Linked DNA regions of Canis lupus familiaris. The protein of the gene in region 2 interacts with the protein of the main gene of each other region in a pairwise test. Links are inferred from orthologs where the notes say so. Each region holds a gene or a part of one and is shown on either strand. Other genes may lie near its edges.

Region 1 (4,181 bases), on a different chromosome or scaffold from region 2:
CCTCTGAAGCCCCTGTGACCACAGGCAAGTCCCTTTGCTCTCGGACCTCTGGTTTCTGGTGTGTAAATGAGGAGGTGGGCTCAAACCCCCCCACGTGCACTGCAGCACTGGTGCCAGAGACTGGGGTACCTGAGCCGGAGCCTGCAGGGTTAGACACTGCGCCCCCGCCCACCCAATAACACACGCGTGGAGAGACGTTCAGCAGCAGCTCTTTAATTCTAGAGATTGAGGATGCTGGGTGCACTGTCCTACAAGTGCGCGTGGGGCAGGACCTCACTGGCCAGCCTGTGGGCGGCCCCGCCTCTCCCAGTAGGAACGAAGCCAGTTCAAGCCCTCTGCGGTGTCTCCTGAGGAGAGGGGGAGGCGGTGGCATTCACCCCAGGAGAAGAGCAGTAGAGCAGCTGTCCCTCCAGAGCTCCCTCCCCAGGGCCAGGCCCGGAGCCCCAGCACCCCCTCACCTAGAGGCCGGTACTCGCAGCCCACAAAGCCCTTGTAGCCTTCGTCCTCCAGCAGTTGGAATAGATAGGGGAAGTTCAGCTCTCCAGGGCTGTCAGGCTCCCCTCGGCCCGGGACCTGTGCCACCTGCACGTGCCCTGGAGACAGACAGATGTGGCAGGTGTGGGACCCAGGCTCCAGCTGAGGCCCGATGGACACATTTTGGGGGGAGGACAGGAGTAGCACAGCAGACCAGAAGGAGATCAGAGACCCCTCTCACCCACGAGGGGCAGGAACTCCCGGATGTTTCCTGTCAGGTTCCCATCCATGATCTGCCAGTGGAACAAGTCCTGGGTAGAGAATACTGGATCACACCCTGCGGCCCGTCCTCCCCAGACATGGAGCACACGGGCCTCCTGAGCAGCACTCCCTTTGTTCCACTTACCATCTGCAGCTGGAGGTTGGGTCTTCCGACCTTCTGTAAGATGGCTGCCGCTGGGAGAGAGCCCGGGGAGGGGGCCGTGAGCCCCAGGGGGAACCCAAGAATCAAAGGGGCCTGGAGGGGGCACGGGGCTGCAAGTCCTACCCTGCTGGGGCATGTCCAGGAAGTACTGGGGGTCTGTGATGCGGGTGTTGATGGGCTCCAGCAGTCCCACGAGGTTCTCCTAGCACCACGGTGGACCAGTGAGCAGAGCTCCGCTGTCAGCCAGCCACTGAAGCGCCTCACCATTCCCTCTGAGCTGGGCCAGCGCCCCCCTCCCTCTGCACACACAGGCGTTCACATGCATATGTGTGTGGCTCTATGGCCTTGGCCTCACCTGAGCCAAAACCCCAGCAGCGTGCCTCAGGTTCTCCAGAAACACGGTCTCCATTTCACTCCTGACTGCTGCTCGGTCAGCCCCCTGGGGTACTCGGCCAGCCATCAGGTGAATCCTGGGGGAAGATGGCACTGGAGGGGGCTGGGGAGTCCATCCTGAAAACAGGGCCCTTGCTCCTTGGCTCCCTGGGTGCGCCCCTTCCAGCTGTGCTCCCACCTCTACCCGCCCGCACCCCAATAGCTGGTCACCTGGCCGCCATGCTCAGTGGCCTGACTGATCCTCCTGTGTCAGCCTGAGGCCAAACCCTTTTCCAGACACCTTTGAGGGTCACACCATCCTCCTGCGTCAGAGACCCCTCACTGTCCTCTCCACCTCTCCTTCCCAGTCGCCCTCTCCTTGGGCTATAAACGTGTGTCGGCCTCACTTGCTAACAAGTACTTTGACCCGTTCCCTTAAATATTCCGAGCTGCCTGTCTCCACCTCCGGCATCTGTTCCTTCCGTCCTTCCCATCTGCTTTCTGCCCCCACCACTCACCAGTGAGGACCCCCGTTGCCAGTTCCAGCTCAGCCCATTTCAGCGGGATTTGACATTTATTTGATCAGCCCCGCGCCTCCTCCTGCCATCACCTCCTCCCTCCTGGCCACACCCAAGTCCAAAGGCAATGTCTGAGCCTCGGGAACTCTGCTGAGCACGCGCGCCGGTCTCTGGCCACTGCATCCTTGCCCCAGTGCCCCTCACCTGTTCATTCCTTTGAGACCCAGTTTAACATCACTACCTGTATCCGGCTCTGCTCCCCGACAGGTGTCTGCTGGCTCCCACAGCTACCATAAACTGACCCTTACTCAAGTGGACCACTCGGTGGTTGGCTTTGCTCTCTCCCTGGCAGGCCAGCTCCGGGCATGGGGTCCCAGCGTGAAAGAGGAGCAAATTGAGGACACGGGCCAATAAGACACAAAAGGCGATTTACAAAGGCTCGGGGCTAGAGGAGTGAAGGGCCCGGGCACTGACTCCGGACCCTCTGCAACCTGGGTGCTCTCTCCCAGACCCCAACCGCGGGGCAGGGTGTTGGAGGAGGCCGGGCGAGAGGGGGAGGAGGAGGGAGGACGGGAGGGTACCTGGGGCAGCCCAGGGCCCGGGCGTACAGCACTGCCTGCTCCAGCCCCTCGCGGAAGGCCGCCTGCCTCCCCGGGACGGCCCCCAGCCCCATCTCCCCTTTCTCTCGGTCCCCTGCGGAGAGAGAACGGGCCTCAGCCCCGGCCCGCCGCCCCGGCCTCACCACCGCCCCCGCCCCAGCCCCGCGGCGCACCGGGGGGCGTGTTGATGAGCACCAGCCGCAGCCCCGCTTCCCGCGCGGCGCGAGCCACTGCCTCGGGCGGCTCCGCGTACGGCCAGGCCACCTCGGCCGCCTCGAAGCCCGAGCTGCCGGCCGCCCGCAGCCGCGCGGGGAGCCCGGGGAGCTCGGGGAACAGCCACGACACGTTGGCCGAGAAACGGAGCGGAGCCATGGCCGGCGGGGGCCCTGCAGCAGGGCAGAGTCCGGGCCGCTCGGGGAGCGGAAGTAGGCGGGGCGGGCGGGGAGCGCGGATCCCCGGAGGGGAGGGTGCAGCGGGGCGGGCGGGGAGCGCAGATCCCGGGAGGGGAGGGTGCAGCGGGGCGGGCGGGGAGCGCCGATCCCCGGAGGGGAGGGTGCAGCGGGGCGGGCGGGGAGCGCGGATCCCGGGAGGGGAGGGTGCAGCGGGGCGGGCGGGGAGCGCCGATCCCCGGAGGGGAGGGTGCAGCGGGGCGGGCGGGGAGCGCGGATCCCGGGAGGGGAGGGTGCAGCGGGGCGGGCGGGGAGCGCGGATCCCCGGAGGGGAGGGTGCAGCGGGGCGGGCGGGGAGCGCAGATCCCGGGAGGGGAGGGTGCAGCGGGGCGGGCGGGGAGCGCGGATCCCGGGAGGGGAGGGTGCAGCGGGGCGGGCGGGGAGCGCGGATCCCGGGAGGGGAGGGTGCAGCGGGGCGGGCGGGGAGCGCGGATCCCCGGAGGGGAGGGTGCAGCGGGGCGGGCGGGGAGCGCGGATCCCGGGAGGGGAGGGTGCAGCGGGGCGGGCGGGGAGCGCGGAGCCGCCCGAGAGAGGGCGCTGCGGACCGGGCGGGGGCGGGGAGCGCGGATCCCGGGAGGGGAGGGTGCAGCGGGGCGGGCGGGGAGCGCCGATCCCCGGAGGGGAGGGTGCAGCGGGGCGGGCGGGGAGCGCGGATCCCGGGAGGGGAGGGTGCAGCGGGGCGGGCGGGGAGCGCGGATCCCGGAGAGGGCGCTGCGGACCGGGCGGGGAGCGCGGATCCCGGGCGGAGGCAGGCTGGACAGGGTTGCGCGGATCCCGGGGAAAAGTGCATCTGGGGAGCCCGACCCGAGGTAGGGCGCCAAAAGCCAGACTTTTTTGGTTAGAAAAGTGTGGGGTGAAGACTGCGGCTGGTCCAGAAAAGTGACATTCTTCGAGGCTGAAGCAGGGGAAACGCGGGGAGAGGCGCCGCCCCCGCCCGCTCCGACCGCGGGAGGGCAGACGTGGCCCCGGGCCCCCTGGGCGGAGAGCCGGGAGGGAAGGGCCCGCGCCAGCTGACCAGCCCCTAGAGACCCAGTTGAGGAACGTGAGCTTTAACACTTAGTATTTCCCCCTCACTGTAAAAATAGTATCAGTTCGTGTTGCGACGTTTGAAAGCTAAGAGACGAAATCAAGAACATTTAACTCACTACAGTCATCGCACCACTAACCGTTAGCTTTCCCTTACAGATTAAAAAATAAACATAAGCAGGTCTGTTTTCTTAGAATTCTTATCACACTGTACATGCAGCTGTATGGTTTGCTCTTTCATGTGATGCTCTCTTGTGGGCATTTCCCCGTGTTCTTCAGTACCCTTCAAAGTCCCATACCCAGGCAGCCTAGGATTTAT
Region 2 (3,500 bases):
TTGAAGTTCTGGATGTATTCATGCTCTAGTTTAGCCTGGAATTTCACTTTCTTCAAGGCAATGGAGCCAGGGAACAGCATGTCCATAAACTGACAATAGGCAGCCCCTGAGCACAACTGTTCAATCTTTGTCAGATTCAGCTGCAGAGACTCATTCATCCAGGCCAGCATGTCATGTCGACTTAGGTTATCACTGGTGATGGATGTTGAGTATACGTTCACTTTGGCTCTTGGTGGGACTGTGTCCACTGCCTGTGCCTGGCTTTGGTTCTGTCTTCATTTCATTCAAACCACCCAAACTTTTTATTCTATCTTTAAAAAATATTGCTGAACCAGAACACCTGGGTGGCTCAGCGGTTGAGGGTCTGCCTTCAGCACAGGGTGTGATCCCGGGGTCTGAGATCGAGTCCCATGTGGGGCCCCTTGAGGAGAGCCTACTTCTCCCTCTGCCTAGGTCTCTGCCTCTCTCTCTCTGTGTGTCTCTTATGAATAAATAAATAAAATATTTTTAAAAATGCTAACCATATTTGTATGTTTTTGTTCACTTTTGCAAGTATATCCATGGGATAAATTCACAGGGGTGAATTGCTCAGTTGGGTATTTTTCTGACATTCAAGTCCTCCTTGACATTTTAGCAATTTAGATGACTTTATGAAAATTAGCTAATATTTTAAAGGTATTAGTGCTCTTAATATTAATTCCAAAGTCACTGTATTATAATTAACCATATATAGCTATTATCTTTGATAAGAATATCTCATTTTTTATATTATTTCTTTCCTTTTCAGCTTTGCAGGCAATTACTACTTTGGAGAAATTATTAGAAGAAGATCCAAAAGAGAATGAGCTACTTACAGATAGAGATTCACCTGTCATGCTCCTCAGTATAGCTGCCCATTTTGCTCTAGAAGTAATTCTTATGTATTTATCTACAAGATTTTTACCTCTTTTCCATTTTGAGAGACAATTAATGGAACTCTTTTAGAGGAATTTTCTACAAAGAAAAGAAATTAGTTGGTAGTTGGTGTGAGAAGTAGGATGAGAAGTTTGTTTGAGATGGAATGAATGAGAATGCTTATATGCTGATGGAAATGACCCAGTAAGAACAAAAAATTGACAGTGTGTAAGAAAAAAGAGAATTGTTAGAGCAATGTCCTTAAACAAGCGAGAGGTGATGGGCACAAGTGTATAAATTCAGGGATTGGCTTTACAAAAGAAAATGGTTAGTTCATCCATGAAAGCAGTTGAGGAATTAGAGTATGTGGTATGGTTCCTGGTGTACGAATAAATGTGGTAGTGGGAATCTGGAAGCTTTTTTCCTCACTGCTTCAGGTTTTTCAACAAAGTAGGAAACAAAGTCATTGCCTGAGAGTGAGAATGGGAGAGGAGGTGTTAGGGAGTTTGAGAAGATAAGATAAGGTGTAAACTAATCATGCAGGAAGGCAAGAAAGCAAATGACATGGTAGTGTGGGGTGCTTGCTTGCCCAGTAAGTATTAAGGCCTATTTGATGAAGTTTTAAAATAAAGAAATAGTTGTACAGGTTTTTATCCAGCCACCTTCAGCTCCATAGATATAGGCACAAAAGTCAGTAGAAAGTTGAATTTAACCAGGTTTAAGGTTTTGCTGGATGAATACAATGGAGCAAAAGAGGAGTAGCAAAATCAAGAAACAAGGAAGTGGTTATAATTAATCCCCATGGAATTTAAACTAAACATGGAGGAGGACATCAAGGGGATAAAGGACAGTGAAAAATTTGTAGCATGAATGGATTGGAGGTCTAAGTGCAGTTGAAGGATTGCTGGAGTAATAGAAAGGAGTGAATTAGAAAGGTAGGAAATAGTAGTCAATAGAATACATGAGACAGAGCAGGGTGCAGGACTAGAATGAGGAAGTGAGACACTTAAGGAAGCACTCACTTTCTGAGTCATGCAAGTGTAAAGTTGGTTCTTGCAGGAGTGGTTTTCAAGAAAATAACTTTGCAGTAGATAAGTCATCAAGAAATGAGAAGAAATGGCCTAAGAGCTGGTGGATCAGCACAATGAGGAATGGTGGGTGATACAGTCTGATGACAGGAAATTCGAAGCTAGGGATTTAGGGAGGAAAAAGGAAGAATAATTTTAAAACATCAATGAAGAACAAAAACTACACCTACTTCATCTCCAGGCCTAGGAGTAGAAGGGAGACAAAAGAAAAATTGCCACTACATGAGGGGGTTCTTTGGAAGCAATCCTTGATGGGATCTAGATTTCTATTACAGAAAGAATGTGGAGGGAACTTTCAGGGAAGAGGTTGCTCATAGAGAAGATTTTGATGATAATGAACTAAACTTCAGAGAGTGTAGTAGAAAGATTGGGGGAGTAGGGGAGAAATGGGAAAAGAGTAAACGGGGGATTTATAGAGCTTTATGGAGACTGGGGTGCTAGAAATAATCTGGAGTCTGGGGTTCTTTCGGTTACTGCTAATGAACAGGGATAAAGAGCACAGTATTAATCCTAGTGCATTCATGGCAGTGTTGGCAAGTCTATGAGTATTTATGGATAGTGAGGAGTGGGTTTCTGGGGCCAAAATGAACCTATTCTCCTTTTGTCAATGAATTGTTTCTTCATTCTACCATCTTGAATTAGCTCTTTTGATAATATAAAATGAACAAATTCAGATTTTTTTTCTTGTCCTTGAAAGGACAGGAATATAGGTAACATTTTGTAAGTATCACTTTGAGATGTAATTTAACATATTATATTTGTCTTTTTTAGAATGGACAACAAATTGTGGCAGGAAAAGCTTTGGAATATTTAGCTCAATATTCAGAAGATCCACAACAAGTCCTTACAGCTTTAAAGTAAGTAATTCATATCCTGTAGATGTGGAAGGATTTCTTGTTAATCTTAATCTTGGTCTATAAACTTTGTCAAAATAGTATTGATGTGATGTCATCAGGCCTACTATACCAATTGTTATTTTAAATTTTTTCAAGCTTTATTGAGATATAATTGACAGATAACATTGTATAAGTTTAAGGTGTATAACCTGATAATTTGATACATGCATATATTGTGAAATGGTTAACACAACAAAATTAGTTAAATTATTCATCACCTCATGAAATTACTATTTCTTTGTGTGTGGTAAGAACATTTAAGATTTAGTCTCTTCCCAACTTTCAAATATATAATACAGTCTTGTTAACTGTAGTCACCATGCTCTACATTAGATCCCCAGAACTTGTGCATCTTATAATTTGAAGTTTGTAACCTTTGACCAACATTTCCCCACTTCTTCCACACCCAGCTTCTAGCAAACACCATTCTATTCTGTTTCTATGTTTTGCTTTTTAATTCTTAAAGATTCAATACATGAGTGAGATAATACATTATGTCTTTCTTTGTCTATCTTTCCACAATGCCCTCAAAGTCCAATAATGTCACAAAAGGCAGGATTTCCTTCTTTTATATGGCTGGTTGGCTCAGTCGGTTAAACATCTGACTCTTAATTTCAGCTCT
Region 3 (4,039 bases), on a different chromosome or scaffold from region 2:
TTTTTTTTTTTAACAGAAGAAGTAACTAAGACCTCAGAGAAGTAAAGTAACTTGCCCGAGGTCACATGGCTCACAAGTGGCACAGCCAGGATTTGAACCCAGGCCTGTTTATCCTGGGTTCCGTGCTCTGGTGTTCATCCTTACTCCCTCTCTAGTTTTGTGTTCCTAACCAGAGGCCCAGCAGAATCACTTAGGGAGCTTTTTAAAAAATACAGGTTGATAGGTCCCTCTCTTCCCAGAATAACTCAAACTAAAGGGGATTTAAGCCCCTGGTTGGCTCAGCAGTTGAGCATCTGCCTTCGGTGCAGGGCCTGATGCCGGAGTTCAAGGGTAGAGTCCCACAGCCGGTTTCCCGCAGGGAGCCTGCTTCTCCCTCTGCCTGTGTCTCTGCCTCCTCTGTGTGTCTCTCATGAATAAATAAATAAATAATCTTAAAAAATAATAAAATAAAGGGGATTTAAGCAGGTGTTTGGCAGTTCCCCATATGGGCACTCTTGGGGTGCCTTTCAAGAGAGGATACACAGGATGGCCTCACTGGCACAAGGAGGAGGAGCCTGCCTTGGCTTTTCACCAGGAGGCTGAGTATTCCCAGGCTTCTAGGCGCTCAAGATGGGACCAGAATCCAGGCAAGGATCCTCTCTCCTACCACCCTATGGCCCTCATAGGCTCCTCATCAAAATCTGATCTCATTCCCATTATCGTAACTCCCAGTTCAGAGAAAAGTCAAATATAAACCCTTATTTCACAAACAACCGAGAATAGCATCCTTGGTTGGCCTTCGTGTCTTAGACTTCAGCCAGTTTTAATTCCGAAGTAACCAGTAAGCACTGAGCACCCCGCGATGAGCCAACGGGTCATGCTTTTTCAGGGGCGTTCGCAGCTGCGGCTCAGGCTCAGCCGCGGCGCAGCGAGGCGGGAAGGGAAGGCGGGCTTGCTACTCGCTTCGGGGCCGGACGGGGGCGCCGGTCTCCAGGAAATCACGCGCAGGGTCGGCGTGTGGGCAGAGCCGCGAGCCGCCGCCGCGAGCAGCGATGAGTCAGTTTCCTGCGGAGCGCTCCCCGCCCGCCACAACTCTGCGTGCGCTCGGGCTGCAGCGTCACCCTCGGGTGGGGAGGGGAGGCGGGGGGCGGACCGGGGGGCGGACCGGGGGCCGCGAACACGTCACGCTGAGCCAGCCAGGCTTCCGAAAGCCCCGCCACTGTTGGAAAAACGCGCGCGCCTCCGTGACACACACACACACACACACACACACACTCCGCACGCAGAGGCGCGCAGAGGTTTGGTCCCTCCACCTTATCTCCACGCCCAAAGCACGGGATGAGTCAGATCCCTGGAAAATAAAAATAGACGAAAGCAAGGAAAACAGAACCGCTCGACAGTCCTCGAACCGCGACGTGGAGGCAGGGAAGGGGGGGCAGGGAGGGAGCCGCCCGGGCACCCCAAAGCGCCAAACCCAATTCCAAGATTCTTTTCCGCAAGAGGCGGGCGCCCGTGTCCCCCGAGGGCCCCCGACGGGGGGGGGGGTGCACGGTGGCCCGCGCTGGGCGGCGGCGCCCAAAGGACGGCTCGTCCTCTCGCTGCGCGCTGAGCAGTCGCCCTCGGACAGGGCAGTTTGGCGAGGGGCGCCGGGAGCCCCCGGATGTGGCCGTCAGGGTGGGACCAGCCTCCAGATGGGACCTCTCCGGGTCCCTCGCCCCGCGCGTGGGCTGCACGCCCCGCGGCCCCGCGGCGCAGGTCTCCCCTCCCGCTGCGGAATGCGGCGCCCCGACCCCAGGGCAGGCGGGGCGCGAAGGAGGACAGGTGTGTCCGACCCCTGTTCTTCTCCCACGGGCCGGCTGGAGCGAGCCCAGCCCGCGCAGGGCCACCGCTCCGGGTCCCCGAGGGCGCGCTGCGAGGCGGGGACCGGACACCCAGTCCTGGACCTCCCGATGTCCCGGCTTCCCTGAGAACACTTTGTGCCAGCCAAACAGTCACTGTGCCGATCGGGGCACAGACACCCGGGGCGGGGAGGAAGCCGACTTCTGGGGCGCCACTGTCCCCCAGCCCGGGCGGGGCTCTGACCGCACCCGTCCCATTTCCCGGGGTCTCCTTGTCACCGTGAGTCACCTCCTCGATTGCCCTGAAAGGATGTGTCCCAACACGTTCCCAAGGACCGGGGGGGGTACGCCGCCCGCGCTGACCTCAGCGCCCAGCCGGTGGCGGACGCGGAGGCGTCGGGGACCCCGGCCGCAGGGGTCTGGGCGGAGACGGCGCGGATTGGATCGCAGCCGCCGGGAGCGGAGGGCGGTGAACCTGCCGGGCTCGGCGTTCCCCGCCCCTCCGGGGGCTCCGCGCCCGGGGGCTCCCTCCGCGCGCCGCCGGGGGCCTGGGGCGCGCGAGTCCACGCCTCCCCTGGCTCCAGGGCGGGGGGCGCGGCAGGGGATCCCCCGCTCTGCTGCGCTCCCGCCGCCCCGGGCTTCCGACACAGCCCGACCTCCGGCACAAGCGCACCTTCCGGAGACACCCGTGGGAGCCGAGCCCAGCCCCACGCGCCGACCCACGCACGTCATTCACCTGTGAAGACGGCACGCGCACGCACACACTCACCCGCTGGGACACTAACACACACACACGAGGCGGACACCTCGGCCGGGCTCCGAGCCGCCGGCCCAGGCCCCCTCGCCGGCCACAACGCCCTCACCTCCTCCGAGGGTCTCCGGCTCCGCGAATCCGCGCCCGCCTCCGCTCTCCAAGCCACCGTCTCCCGCAGCAGCTCGCGAGCTGGCACCGCCCGGTGCCGCCTTATATAGGGACCGGCCGCCCCGCCCCCAGGCCTGGCACCGCCCCTTCTGCCGCCGTCCGCCGCCGCAGCTCGCAACTCGCCGGCGGCTGGAGACCTCCGAAGTCAGACGCCTACACCGCGGGCTGCAGGGGGGCGCTTCCCTCCCCGCCCCGCGCCCCGCGCCCGGCGCCCCGCGCCCCGCGCCTGGGTCCCTGTGCTTGACATGTTTCCCCACTAACTGAGCCACAGACCGGGGTTGTTTTCGCTGGGTTGGGAGTTGGCACTCCCCACGAAGGGATGGCATTCTTAGGATGAGCCCTTCTTCTGGCCCCGAGAAGATCACGAGGGGTGACATTCATAGATAACACTCCATAAATAAAAGCATAAAGGATGTGCCTCGCTCGGCGATTTCCAGAAAAGCCCACTATACCGCCAGTCTTCCCACAGACCCCTCACTAGACCGCCTCTTCCCAAGCACCCAGACACGCCAACAAAGCATCTTGGAGACCAGAACCGGATTCGATCCCCCTTCTTTCACAGATGAAGAAATTAAGGACCTCAGGACTAAACGGATGCAAAGTTGTTGCTCGCCCAATGCCCCCGGGGAAGGAGGGAATGGGGAATACTCAGAAAAGGTCAACCAGGTCTCCAGGGGAAAGCAGGAAATGGGGGAAATTGGACATTGAACCAACCTCCCTACCCCTCCTCCTCGTGCCCACATCCACCTCCTTCTCACCTCAACAATAGAGATCTCTATGATTGCAACAGATTTTTTTTATTTTTTTATTTATTTATGATAGTCACACACACAGGGAGAGAGAGGCAGAGACACAGGCAGAGGGAGAAGCAGGCTCCATGCACCGGGAGCCCGACGTGGGATTCGATCCCGGGTCACCAGGATCGCGCCCTGGGCCAAAGGCAGGCGCCAAACCGCTGCACCACCCAGGGATCCCGCAACATATTTTTTTTTTTTAGATTTTATTTATTTATTTATTTATTTATTTATTTATTTATTTATTTATTTATTTATGAATGAGACAGAGAGAGAGCAGGAGCAGAGGAAGGGGGAGAAGTAGGGAGAGAGGTAGAAGCAGACTACCTGCTGAGCAAAGAGCCCAACTCCAGGCTGGATACCAAGACCCCAAAATCATGAAGCAAAGACAGATGCTAAACCAACTGAACTACCCAGGCACCTCTGATTGCAACAGATTTGATAGCTAGGAAGGGGGAAGGACTTGGTTAGCAAATTATCTCCTGGATATTCCCCCGCACAATCCG
Region 4 (3,500 bases), on a different chromosome or scaffold from region 2:
CACTATTCTTACAAGACTAAGAAAGTGTGCAAATATGCCACGTAACTAAGAAAGTGTGCAAATATGCCACGTAAGGCAAGAATGGGGCCAGATATCCACCCTTGGGGAAAGCGTAGGCAGATAAGAGACTTTCTGGTCCAGTGCTTTGCCCGAGTCTTGGCAGCATTTCTGCAAATGATGAGCACTTATTGACAACCCCTGGCAAAGTGCTGTTGATAAAGCAGAAGAAGAGATTTACACCCTCAGTAAAAACCTAGTACCTTCTCTAGGTAATGGAGGGTTGCACTTTCACAGCCTGCCCTGGCTAAGCCAGGGACAACAGGAAGTACTCCCAAGACTAATCCTTGGTCTTAGGCCCTATAACCATGTGAACAAAACTGGTCTGGCCTGGATCTGAGACCTTTACACAACCGGTGACTTTCTAAATCTGTCACTCGGGGGCACCTGGGTGGCTGAGTGGTTAAGCATCTGCCTTTGGTTCAGGACATGATCCTGGGGTCCTGGGATTGAGTCCCACATCAGGCTCCCTGCAAGGAAGCCTGCTTCTCCCTCTGCCTGTGTCTCTGCCTCTCTCTGTGTATCTCTGATGAATAAATAAATAAAATATTTAAAAGAAAATGCTGGATTTATAACCCAGTTCTTCAGGGCAGGTGGTTTGGGGGTAGCAGGGAAAACAGGCAGCTCAGCAGAGGAAGGCCCACCAGAACCAGCACCTCCCTAGGCAGACATAGCAGACAGCTGTCCCCTGTACACTGCCCACCTCAAGGACATCATGCATAGTTGCTATCTGTGGCCTAAGAAGGCAGGCCCTAGCACCCCACAGGCTGAGCACCCAGGCTCCCAGCCAGGAGGCTCACATGCCGTATGGCCTGGCAGGCTGTGTGCACAATGCCATGATGCCAGAGCCAGCTGCCTGCACCCTCCTCAGAGCTCCTAATGGCCAGAGCCACCTCCTTGCACCCACCTCATAGCGCCTGGCACTGGTGCTGGCTGCCCGCTCCAGCTCCACTCGTGCTCTCTTGTGGCTCAGTTCCATCTGTATCTTCTCTCGCTCCACCTGGACAACCTGGGACTTGGAGCGGATCCACTCTGCTCGTTCTTCCAACTGATCAGGTCACACCCAAAGGAAAGAGAACCTTCAGCAGCTGTGCCAAACAGGTGAGTGGCTTGTCTAACACTCACTCACTGAACACCAACCCCCCAACGAGGCCCGAACTCAGCCCTGGGGACAAAGGCTGGATGCTGGGTCCTTCGTTGGAAATGAGGAGAGGCAATAAACAAAAACTAAACACTAACAAGAGAAAAGTATACTTTAAGATGACAGCATGTAGGTTTGTTTGAGAAAAAGGGGCATGTTAGCTTCCTATTGCTGTGTAGCAAATTACCACCAACTTAGCAGCTAAAATCCCATAGTAGTGGCCAGGTTCTGGGGGCAGAAGGCCAGGCACCCACAGGTTGTCTGATCAGGATCTTATAGGCTCAAATCAACACTGAGATCAAGCTCCAAACTCATCTGGGCCTTAGGATCCTCTTCCACACTCTCATGGCTGGAGGACATGCTGTCAGTCCTGCGCTGCTGTCACCTCCTAGAACCCGCCCACATGCCTTGCCATGTGGCCCTCTCCACCTCCAAAGCCAACAAGGGACAATCCCCCATATGCAGAATCCTTCTCCTGCTCTATGTGGCTGATTGTTCTATCTGACCTAGCCACCTAGGTTCAAAATGCTCATCTGAGAGGTCAGGCCCACCATCTTGAGGTCGACTGATTTCAGTTCTTAATTATGTTGGCAAAATCCTGCTACCACAAAACCTCGTTGGTATTTAAGTGGGAGAAAGTGTGGTCCACCAGGGGCCAGGGATTTGCAAGCCATCTCAGAAGTCTGCCTACCACAGAGGGTAGGTACATAAAGGTGGGGTCAAGCCTTGAAGGCCCTCAGAAGACCCACGAAACAGTTTCACAGAACCACTGACTGTGTCAGGGCCTCGTCCTCACCCGGACTGGAGCTTGACTATTCCAGGAATGGCTGGCAACACAGCAGCTTGCAAGCACTAAAAAGAAATGCAGAACCTCAGGCTGCACTCCAGAGACGCCCAATCAGAATCGCCCTTTTACACAGTCTCAGGGTTTCAGAGGCATAAAGTCTGAGAAGCACTGGGCTAGAACAAGTGGTTGTCAGTTCCACCAGGGACTTGGCGACATCCGGAGACACCGCTGTCAAAAGAGGGAGTGGTAGCATGTGTTTGCTACCGGCATCTAGTGGGCAGAAGCCAGGGATGTCCCTTAACATCCCACAAGGCTGTGGTCCTGCAAAACAAAGAATTATCCAGCCCAAAATGTCAGCAGAACCACAGATGAGAAATCCCAGACCAGAAGAAAGGCATCTTCTCTACCCCCCACCCCACCCACACACTCTTTGAGGGCCTAGATCCACCCTTTGTTTACTCCTCTGACATTTCCTCTCATTTCAGTTCACGTCGGTTAAAGTGTGGGGTTCCAAAACCACCCTCCATCAGACTCACTGGCCTTCCCAGTCTCTGCCTGCAGATAAGGCCCAGCCCCTCCAAAGGACGGCAACCCCCAGCTCCCATGGGCACTACCACACAGTGAGCAGGAGCCCAGAGAAACGTATCTATGGCCACATCTTCCTGGTACACCAACTGCATTTGAAGGAAAGTAACTGAAACATGTTTGTATCAAATCAACACTGACATGTAGCAGAACAGACTGCAAACAATTTCCCACAGAAACCAGAGCTTAAAAAAAGGGCAGGGGATGGGGATCCCTGGGTAGCTCAGCTATTTGGCACTTGCCTTCGGCCTAGGGCATGATCCCGGAGTCTCAAGATCGAGACCCACATCGGGCTCCCTGCATGGAGCCTGCTTCTCCCTCTGCCTGTGTCTCTGTCTCTCTCTCTCTCTGTCTCTCATGAATAAATAAATAAAATCTTTTTTAAAAGGGGGAGAGGGGGATCCCTGGGTGGCGCAGCGGTTTGGCGCCTGCCTTTGGCCCAGGGCGCGATCCTGGAGACCCGGGATCGAATCCCACATTGGGCTCCCAGTGCATGGAGCCTGCTTCTCCCTCTGCCTGTGTCTCTGCCTCTCTCTCTCTCTCTCTCTCTCTGTGACTATCATAAATAAATTAAAAAAAAAAAAAGGGGGGGGGGGAGGCAGAGGGGTGGGGGGAGGACTGCTAAGCAAAAATTTCCAGACTCTCCAGACCTCTAAGTTCTTAGTTCCCTCACCTGCCATTTGAGGGTAGCTTGGTAGGGCACAAAACCGCTAAGTCCTGGCACACCACAGGACCAGGTCAGGGCCCTCGCAGGTCCTCCAGCTACAAGACTCTAATCAGCTTAGTCTGACTATGGGATCCCCCAAACTGAGGAGGCCCTCAATATCACTAGCTTAGTGAGAACTTGGCTTCAGAAGTTCCATAGTTCTGACAAATTAGCCCAAAGTTCCTGGACATTTGCATCAACGAAATTGTAACACTTTTTTAGAC
Region 5 (4,269 bases), on a different chromosome or scaffold from region 2:
TTAAGCACCTGCCTTTGGCTCAGGTCATGACCTCAGGGTCCTGGGACTGGGTGCCCCCAACCCCAGTCGGCTCCCTGCTCAGCGGGGGAGGCTGCTTCTCTCTCTCCCTCTGCCCCTCCCCTGCTCGTGTGCCTGCACCCACGTGTGCTCTCTCTCAAAGATTTTAAAGAAAATCTTTAAAAAACATAAAAAAATAAAACCTCTCATTTGTATAATCCAATTACAAATCACAAGAGAATTTAAAATTTGTAATGATAACGAAGCAAAAATAAGTCACCTTTTCGTGAACTTCTGCTTTGTATCAGATACTATAAATTCTAGTTTAACTGTGTTATTTTAAATCCTCAGATGATCTCCATTCTATAGACAAGGAAAACCCCTCAGAAGTGGTAATGCGGTCAAGGTCAAAGAGTAAGTCAGCAAAACTCTAATACGAACTCGGATCTATCTGACATCAAGATCTGTGCTCAGTCCCATAGAAAACGCTACTTTAGCATTTCAACTACATGACAGTCAAAATGAATTTTGTGGGCAAGCTAAAGAAACACACAGTTCAGACTCCTACACTATGACCCACTGAACATAAAGAAGGCTTCCGTAGCCCATCACCTTGTATGCCGCATGGCCACATGGAACGCACCAGAGGCTCAGGAACCTATATTCATCACCCGTGGGTATGAAAGCGTGGGGTGCGAGTGTGGGGTGGGGAAGCACGGGGGAAAGGACAGGCCCTCAGGAGCTGCAGGATCCTCAGGGATGCTGGGTCTCTGATTTCTTTCCATGATACCCTTTTCCCCCCAGTCATACCCCCAAACCCAGATCCTCCTCCACCGCTACTTTTCGAGGACAAAAAAAAAAAAACCTAGTGGCATGAGAAACATTTTACGTAGATAGCCTAACCACAGCTAGAATAAATGGGATCAAGGCACGTATTTTCTTGAGGACAGACCGCATGAAGGCCAGCCATTAATATCAACTGCACAAGTTTTTTTGTTTTGTTTTGTTTTGTTTAAAGTAACAAATGCAACTTTAATTGATTTCTGGATAAAAACTACTCAGTGCAGGTCAGTAACCATGGCAGCCCCTGCTCTGTTGGAGCCATCTTCAGGCTCCAACAGCCTCCAAGACCATCTGTTGGACGGTCTTCAGGACCTAGGTCAACGGGCTATTTGCATTATCTCATGTCATCCACAGTATTAGAAAAACATTAGATCAATTTAGACGAGATGCGCTGCTGGCAGCCAAGCCTACATCTACAGAGAGGGTGACATCCGGGCTTAAGCGCACACCCCATTGTACATTTTAATCATGTAACGTAAAAAAAAAATAAAATAAAATAATCGTGTAACGTGTAATTCATTCCGCACTCGTAGTTCACAGTATGGTATCCCTGCAAGAGAACCGGAACGGCTGTATTACATTCATTTCATAAAAGGGGGAGAAGGCCTGTGAGGTTCTTTCAGAGCACGACAGGCGTAAATTCGTACTCGTTTTAACTGTGATTTTGCTCCAAGTGTTGACCTCCTCGTTTCCAAGGCACTGACTCTTTCCTTGCTTTGAGTCAAATCCTTCACAAAAACAAAACAAAACAAAACAATCGGATAAACCAAATACTGCTCTATGAAAGAACAACGGTTAATTTTTTTTGGGGGGGTGGGTGGGTAGGGGGAAGGAACCAGACTACCAAGCTACCACTGATCGATGAGAAGTCATCACTTTTATTGCAACAGATAAGCAGCTTTACAGGAAGGTCTATTTTCCTCACTCGTTTTCATGGGGGGGGTGGGGGGGGAATAGCATCATCCTGCTGGCGGGTGGGAATGCATCCTGCAAGGTGCGGCTTTGCAAGACTCGACATTCCAAGTTCAGCGGGGTCACTAAAGAGCCACACCAACCCCCAGGCTGCTGGGTTTTCCGCTCTGCAGAAAATTCTGAGCAGAACCAACTTCAGCAGAAGTCTAAATGCCGAAATCTACGTTCCGGACGCAAGGGCTCGGGCCAGAAACCACCATCTTCTCCACACCTACACCGACGTGCGTTAAAAGCATGTGTCTACGTCCTCCCCGAGGCACAGAAACTTTTATCCCAGTCTTGAATTCGGGAAAGAAACACACACGCGGGCCCCAGCGCCTCCTCCTCGGGTAAAAGCAAAGGGGGAAGCGGCGTGGACAGCAAGAGGCAAGATGCGGCACTGCCTTGTGTATGTGTGTGTGTGGTTTTATGGTTTTGGGGGGGTTTTTTTGGCGTTTGTTTTTTTTTTTTTTTTTTTTTTAAACGACTCCTTATGCACTAGCCCGTGAGCCGGAGGAGAGTCAGAGAGCAGAGGCGACGACGTCGGTGGAAGGTCTGGCCCCGACCGCGCGCGGCCGGGCGGGCGAACCGCCGACTTACTCTGCACCTGCAGGTCCATCTCGCGCATCTCCGTGAAGCGGTCCCGCAGGTCCATGGGCAGCTGCTCAATCACTGTCAAAGGGAGAGGCCGTCAGCGGGGCGGGGCCAACGGCGAAGGGCGCGCTGACGTCACTGCGTGCGTGCGTGCGTGCGTGGGGGGGGCGAAGGAGCCGGCAGCCCACAGCCCGGCTGCCAGTTACCGTGAGAAAGAAACATCCCCCGCCTCCCCCTCCCTCCCGCCATCCCGCCCGCCCGGCCGCTCGCGCGCCCGCCCGCCCGCGGGTCCCCCAGGCGGCCCCCGCCAGCGCCGCCCACTCACTTTCCAGATAGTCCTCTAGGTACAACATCGCGGCCCTTAGAGCTGGGGCAACGAGGGGGTCCAGGGGTTTATTTGTGTCACTCGCTGTCGCCGGAGTTTTGTCCCTTCCAATATGGCGCCTCCGCTAGCAGCACCCGCTCGGCTTCGGCGGAAAAAAAAAAAAAAAAAAAAAAAGAAAGAAAAAAAAAAACCACTTTGGCGCCTGACGGCGCTTGCCTCACTGCCGCCCGGAGCCGTCATTGGCCGGCTGGGGCGATGACGTCAGCCGGCCGGAGTCCGCCCGCGCGGCTTTGTGGGAAGTGTAGTCCGGTTCCCCCCCACGGCGAGGATCGGCGCGCCCGGCGGTTACCGGCGTGGCAACTACGAAGACCAGGCGGCCTTGCGCCCCGTGCGCCGCGGAATCCGAAATGCGGTGCCTCTGTTTATTTGTTGATGCCGGCGCGGGGCATGACGGGAGTTGTAGGCGCCCGCGGAACCCAAGTAGGAGCAACTTTCCACCTGTTCCCGGCCGGCGTGCCTCGGTGGCCCCGGCGGCTGGGAGTCGCGGGTTTCCAGGCGGGCGGGGCAGGTGGAAGGTGTTCCAGCGCCGGAACGGCCAGCGGAGTTCGGGCGATCCGCATTGTGTAAGACAGAACTCCTGGCTGGAACGCATCCTTAGTCTCCGACTGCTCAAAATACCCACGAGGCGCCTGCTTGGCTTTCCTGCACCTGGACGGGTGGCCGCCCTCCACGCGCTCTTTACCTGCTTTTATTCCGCGGTCCGGCTCGTCGTCACCGTGATGTCATCGAGCTGAACGCACGAAGTGCACCCACCAAAAAAAAAAAAAAAAAAAAAAAAAAAAGCAGAACTAGAGAACAAGCAGAAATAACGGATGGAGACTTGCTGCTGTCGAATGAGCTGTTCTAAGAATGACTTCAGGCGGTGTTGAGTAAGCAGCCCGCCCCCAGCTGTCTACACCCGCGGGAGGGGTCATCTTCTACCCCGGGACCCCTTCCCCGCCCCGTGATGGATTCGGTCCTTCACGGCTCAGTTTTCTTTTTCTTAAGAACATCTGCACGCAGCACAGGTCGAGAGCATCTTTCTCTCCCACCTGCCTTAGCTCTCTGTTCGTTTTCCTGGGAAATGTGTCTTCAGTTCGCCATTCAGTGTTCTATTTTCACTTTTTTTTTCTTTTTTTTTTTTTTTTTTTCAAATTGGAGTCGAGACATTTGATGCATTTTTGAGTTTTCTCCCTTCCGCCCTCTTCTACCCAAGACTTTTTCCACCGCTCATGGTCAGGATGCTCACCTGTCGTGTTGGTGAATGTCAAGGGAAACCCACCTCAATTCTAATGATTACCTAGTTTACTTTCTGTACTTTTATCTAAAATCTAGGATTTTCGGGTTTCCTCCCTCCTACACTCCCTTCTTCGTTCCTTCCTTCCTTCCTTCCTTCCGGCTGCCTTTAAGATCTCTTGGATATTTCTGTGGTTTCTCAGTGGTGAATCTAGGTCCATAGTCATTTCTTTGTTTCCTTCCTTCTTACCATTCAAAAAAAAAAAAAGTTCAAACCATGCTTA
Region 6 (4,068 bases), on a different chromosome or scaffold from region 2:
TTCCTTATGAAGCCTTTTAAATTCATCTTACTTGAAGTCTTCGGGGTGGATGCCTTTTAATAATACTTGTTTCTCCGTGTTCCAGTGGAATGTCAAAATACATGGCCCTGGGCACTTGAAGGATTGAGAGAGAAATAAAAACAAACCATTAAAAAATTGACTATTAAATTAGGTTAATCGTTAGACTTCACTAATATGATTTGGTACCTTTTTAGTTATATATGTGCAACCTATATGTTGAATATGGAGATGAAACACATAAGGCAGGGGTCCTACATGAATGCCAATGGTAAAACATTAGTTTAGACCTAGGATTTAATTTATTGAATTCTTCTCTAGTTTGATAGTTAGAGGAAAATTGGAAAAATCAACAATGTATTGACTACAAATATTGTTAAAACATAGAATTTGGTCTGAAAAATAGAAACTTTTCCGTTTGTTTAAATTTCATGAAATCTATTCAAAATAAATTTAGGAAATCAGAAATAATATATCCTTAAGAAATGAAAATAAATTCTCTTCTCAGATGATATAGTTGGATGGTGGATAGATAGGAGATGATTAAAAAATGGAGCATGAGTTTGTGATAGAAGTAGCAATGTTTAGCATTGTATGTACCTAATTAAATAGTCCCCCCAGCTAGAGAAGAAATTCCCACAAGTCGCCCTATCATACAACATGATCATGGGGCGCTAGGACTACTACCATGACCAACGCTGCATGAAGGAAGTTTTGTCTTTTCCTCTTAGTAATCTGGAAGCATTCTAATTTCTAGATTGTTGCATGGACTAACCTATAGTTTCACTTTGCATTGTAAATGGAAAAATCCCTGTGTAATTATGTGTTTCTATCCTTACAGCATTTGAATGACCACCTTAAAAACTTCACCATGTTTATATTTTCTTTCAAGAGATGCTGGCACATTGAACAAGACAGAAACAACAGTAATGACAACAAAAAACATTTTTGATTAGAAACCGTAAGTATTAAAAATATGTAAGTATTTCTGGCAACATTTTTTTTAGTAGCCTAACAACTCCTTATTTTAATATTATGATTTGAGTGATAACACCTCATTATTTACTTTGATTCATCCAAAACAGCATTGGCTGTGTCAGGGCAGTTATTTTTATCCTTGATTTATAGGTGAAGGAAACTGATGCAATAATTTGCCCAAACTCATATAATTTGGCATTTGGTGGAGCTGGGCTTAGAGTATGGGTCTCCTGAAATTAGTGATCAGAATGCTCAGCATCCCTTTGTTATTTGTAATGTGATTTTGTCATTTCAAAAATAAGAATATTTTCCATGTAGGACTCTAATGCATTAGAATCAGTTTCACTATTCAGTTACCAGAATCTTAAAACTCTGGATAGAGGGTTTGGATAAAAAAGGAACTCTTCAATGAAACTAGAGGAAAATTCCCCCCCACATGTTTATGAAATTGGAGAACATAAAAATAGGCCATTTACCCAGTCAAAGCTGGTCAGTTCTACAGAGAATAGCTATGAGAATCAGTCTGGGTACGATCTACCAGATATACCAAAAGAGAATATAAAGCTTTCTGGTCAGGTTGACTAATAATGGGAACTTACTTGTGTTATTGATCCAGAATATAAATAAAGAAAAAAATACATAGATATACTACATAGATAAACATATGTATACATTATATACTCATATTTCTCTTCCCAAGTTAGAATCTCTGCTTAATTGTCATTGTGATTGTCAAAAAAATTTTACATGTCTTATAAAATATTCCAGGATAATTGATAGCCACTCCAGGCACAGAGCTTCCAGTCATAATGGGAAAAATTCTCTTAGTTCTCCAGATGACAGAACTTAGTTCATATTCTGCATGAAGAATGTGGGGTTGGGGAGGGGGTGACTCATCCTCTCATCTGTACTGCAATAAATCAATTCTGTTTGGGGTGGTTTCCAAATTCACATTAGGGTGAATTCACTCCTCAAGTGTTGCTTTCAAAATAACAAAGCCTGATGCACTAAGTGGTGCTGGAGAGAATGGTTTAAATTTAGAATCTAACTGAAACATATGATTGTCATAATTTATCACATCTTATCTATATAATTTTAATCATCTGGCAAAGCTAGGTGTAAACATTGAAAGCACTATAAGCTGAAACCAAACGATTTTTTTCTTCTCGTGTGGAATGGTAAAAAGCCCTTGGGTGCAGAGTTTACACACTCATTCTAATGCACCCAGACTACTTGACAGACATGCGCTTGCAGCTTGAAAGATGTTCCCTTACAGTCAGCAATTTAGAAATTTTCTGATATGATTATGGAGACGGACAGTCAAGTACATCTGTTAATAGCTTCCATTGGTCCAAATACACAAATCTCATGATAGGTGTTACACGTACCTGCAGCGTATCTTCCACACCAGGTCTCTCGTAGAGGTGGCAGCTGCCCTTCCAAAGCTTTATTCCGGTCCTGCAGTCTTGCGAACAAATAGGAACTCTTCTCTTCCAGATTCTGATTCAATGCAAAATCCACGGGACTGGCCGAGGGAGTCTCTACCTCTTTGTTTTGCAAGGGTGCTACTCTGGTCACCCGAGGGTGAGCCTTAGAGTGGCTGAGGCCCATTTCAAGGTAAAGATATTCAAAGTACAATCATGAGGGAAGTGGTTTGGGGCCTTGAATTTAGCTTATTCTAATTAAGGTAGGTCAGAATTTTATCCCAGCTTCACAAAGCACTTCATGGCATCTTTCTAGCTTTATTCCACCACACAGTAAACCCTCTGGCCACTTCCTGGGAGGCTGGTTTCCATGGAGACGTCCCTTTAGCTCCTACTCTGCCACTTCAGACCCAAAGAATCCGGTTAAACATTGACTTGTTACGCTAGTTTCTGAAAGACTCGGTGGTAGGAACAGAAACCACTGTTGATCATTAAACAAATCTCTAACACCGGGAAGGCCATTAACAGGGATGGAGAGCAGAGGTTTACAAACGTCTTAAACTTGACTTTCTATTGCATGTACCCTTCAATACCATCTTTGAGAGCTACCATTGAAGAATAGCTATATCATCTTCAGAAACGAGAGGATACACACTAATCATCATTCGTTAATCTTTAATTTTAATTGAAGAATTTATTTTCCATATAGGATAGGTAACAACAGAGTGGCTAAAATAATTTTATTTTTCTTTCAATACCTTGAATTGCCTTTGAAGGGGATTAATACATTACAGGAAGGCAGGGAGACAACAACAAGGGGCCAAACTTTTTCTTCTTCTTTGTTTTGAACTGTAGTTAAGGTATAACTTAATATTAGATTCAGGTGAACAACATAGCGATTCAACGATTCTTTTTTTTAAATTTTTTTATTTTTTGCGATTCTACGATTCTATCCATTACACTGTCCTCACCATGATAAGCATAGTTACCATCTGTCATCATACAATGTTACTACAATGTTATTGACTATATTCCCTATGCTGTGCTTTTCATCCCTGTGCCTTACTGAATTTATTTATATCTGGAAGTTTGTACCTCTGAATCCCCTTTGACTATTTCACTCATTACCGCAACTCTCTCTTCTTCAGCAACTACCAGTTCTCTGTATTTATGATTCTGTTTTTGTTTTTTGTTCATTTGTTCTGTTTTTTAGGTTCTGCAAATAAGTGAAATCATATGGTATTTGTCTTTCTTTGACTTATTTCACCTAGCATGATATACTCTGGCTCTATGCATGTTGTAAATGGCAAGATCTTATTCTTTTTTTATGGCTAATAGGCCAGTGTGTGTGTGTGTGTGTGTGTGTGTGTGTGTGTATTCTAATAATGTATACCTTCTTTACCTTCTTTACCCATTCATCTATCAATGGACACATGGGCTGCTTCCATATCTTGGCTATTGCAAATAATGCTGCAATAAACATTGGGGTGCATATATAGCTTTTTGAATTGGTGTTTTCTTTTTCTTTGAATACATACCCAGAGGACAAACTTCTAGAATAAAGGATTCAAATAAGCCTTAGGTTTTCAAAGATAGCTTATTAACAATGCTTTGAAAATAGGCCAAAAAATAAGACTGGAAGAAAAGG

Evidence for each region.
Region 1: the proteins of TEX11 (region 2) and HYI interact in binary tests that used the Homo sapiens proteins (3 or more experiments, as listed by UniProt). The two-hybrid records come from large-scale screens. The link is inferred for Canis lupus familiaris from reciprocal best matches to the Homo sapiens genes TEX11 and HYI.
Region 3: the proteins of TEX11 (region 2) and CDKN1A interact in binary tests that used the Homo sapiens proteins (3 or more experiments, as listed by UniProt). The link is inferred for Canis lupus familiaris from reciprocal best matches to the Homo sapiens genes TEX11 and CDKN1A.
Region 4: the proteins of TEX11 (region 2) and MAD1L1 interact in a two-hybrid assay, tested with the Homo sapiens proteins (2 studies listed by BioGRID and IntAct). The two-hybrid records come from large-scale screens. The link is inferred for Canis lupus familiaris from reciprocal best matches to the Homo sapiens genes TEX11 and MAD1L1.
Region 5: the proteins of TEX11 (region 2) and ING3 interact in a two-hybrid assay, tested with the Homo sapiens proteins (2 studies listed by BioGRID). The two-hybrid records come from large-scale screens. The link is inferred for Canis lupus familiaris from reciprocal best matches to the Homo sapiens genes TEX11 and ING3.
Region 6: the proteins of TEX11 (region 2) and CCDC198 interact in binary tests that used the Homo sapiens proteins (3 or more experiments, as listed by UniProt). The two-hybrid records come from large-scale screens. The link is inferred for Canis lupus familiaris from reciprocal best matches to the Homo sapiens genes TEX11 and CCDC198.

The regions. Positions count from the first base shown.
Region 1 is NC_049236.1:16,826,926-16,831,106, reverse strand, and holds HYI (putative hydroxypyruvate isomerase), read right to left. Parts: upstream 2,801-4,181; 5' UTR 2,760-2,800; coding exon 2,561-2,759; intron 2,482-2,560; coding exon 2,370-2,481; intron 2,162-2,369; coding exon 2,030-2,161; intron 1,435-2,029; coding exon of another isoform or gene 1,369-1,434; coding exon 1,254-1,368; intron 1,101-1,253; coding exon 1,022-1,100; intron 931-1,021; coding exon 881-930; intron 786-880; coding exon 716-785; intron 594-715; coding exon 459-593; intron 348-458; coding exon 274-347; 3' UTR 194-273; downstream 1-193. UniProt on the Homo sapiens protein: Catalyzes the reversible isomerization between hydroxypyruvate and 2-hydroxy-3-oxopropanoate (also termed tartronate semialdehyde).
Region 2 is NC_049260.1:55,268,688-55,272,187, reverse strand, and holds part of TEX11 (testis-expressed protein 11), read left to right. Parts: exon of another isoform or gene 1-269; intron 270-521; exon of another isoform or gene 522-611; intron 612-787; coding exon 788-909; intron 910-2,753; coding exon 2,754-2,839; intron 2,840-3,500. UniProt on the Homo sapiens protein: Regulator of crossing-over during meiosis. Involved in initiation and/or maintenance of chromosome synapsis and formation of crossovers.
Region 3 is NC_049233.1:5,926,990-5,931,028, reverse strand, and holds the start of CDKN1A (cyclin-dependent kinase inhibitor 1), read right to left. Parts: upstream 2,801-4,039; 5' UTR 2,681-2,800; intron 1-2,680. UniProt on the Homo sapiens protein: Plays an important role in controlling cell cycle progression and DNA damage-induced G2 arrest. Involved in p53/TP53 mediated inhibition of cellular proliferation in response to DNA damage.
Region 4 is NC_049227.1:15,036,169-15,039,668, reverse strand, and holds part of MAD1L1 (mitotic spindle assembly checkpoint protein MAD1), read right to left. Parts: intron 1,106-3,500; coding exon 965-1,105; intron 1-964. UniProt on the Homo sapiens protein: Component of the spindle-assembly checkpoint that prevents the onset of anaphase until all chromosomes are properly aligned at the metaphase plate.
Region 5 is NC_049235.1:59,197,551-59,201,819, reverse strand, and holds the start of ING3 (inhibitor of growth protein 3), read right to left. Parts: upstream 2,801-4,269; 5' UTR 2,739-2,800; coding exon 2,711-2,738; intron 2,464-2,710; coding exon 2,392-2,463; intron 1-2,391. UniProt on the Homo sapiens protein: Component of the NuA4 histone acetyltransferase (HAT) complex which is involved in transcriptional activation of select genes principally by acetylation of nucleosomal histones H4 and H2A.
Region 6 is NC_049229.1:33,319,767-33,323,834, forward strand, and holds the start of CCDC198 (uncharacterized protein CCDC198), read right to left. Parts: upstream 2,801-4,068; 5' UTR 2,608-2,800; coding exon 2,385-2,607; intron 115-2,384; coding exon 32-114; exon of another isoform or gene 27-31; coding exon of another isoform or gene 1-26. UniProt on the Homo sapiens protein: May be involved in tuning the metabolism, energy expenditure, and excretion processes.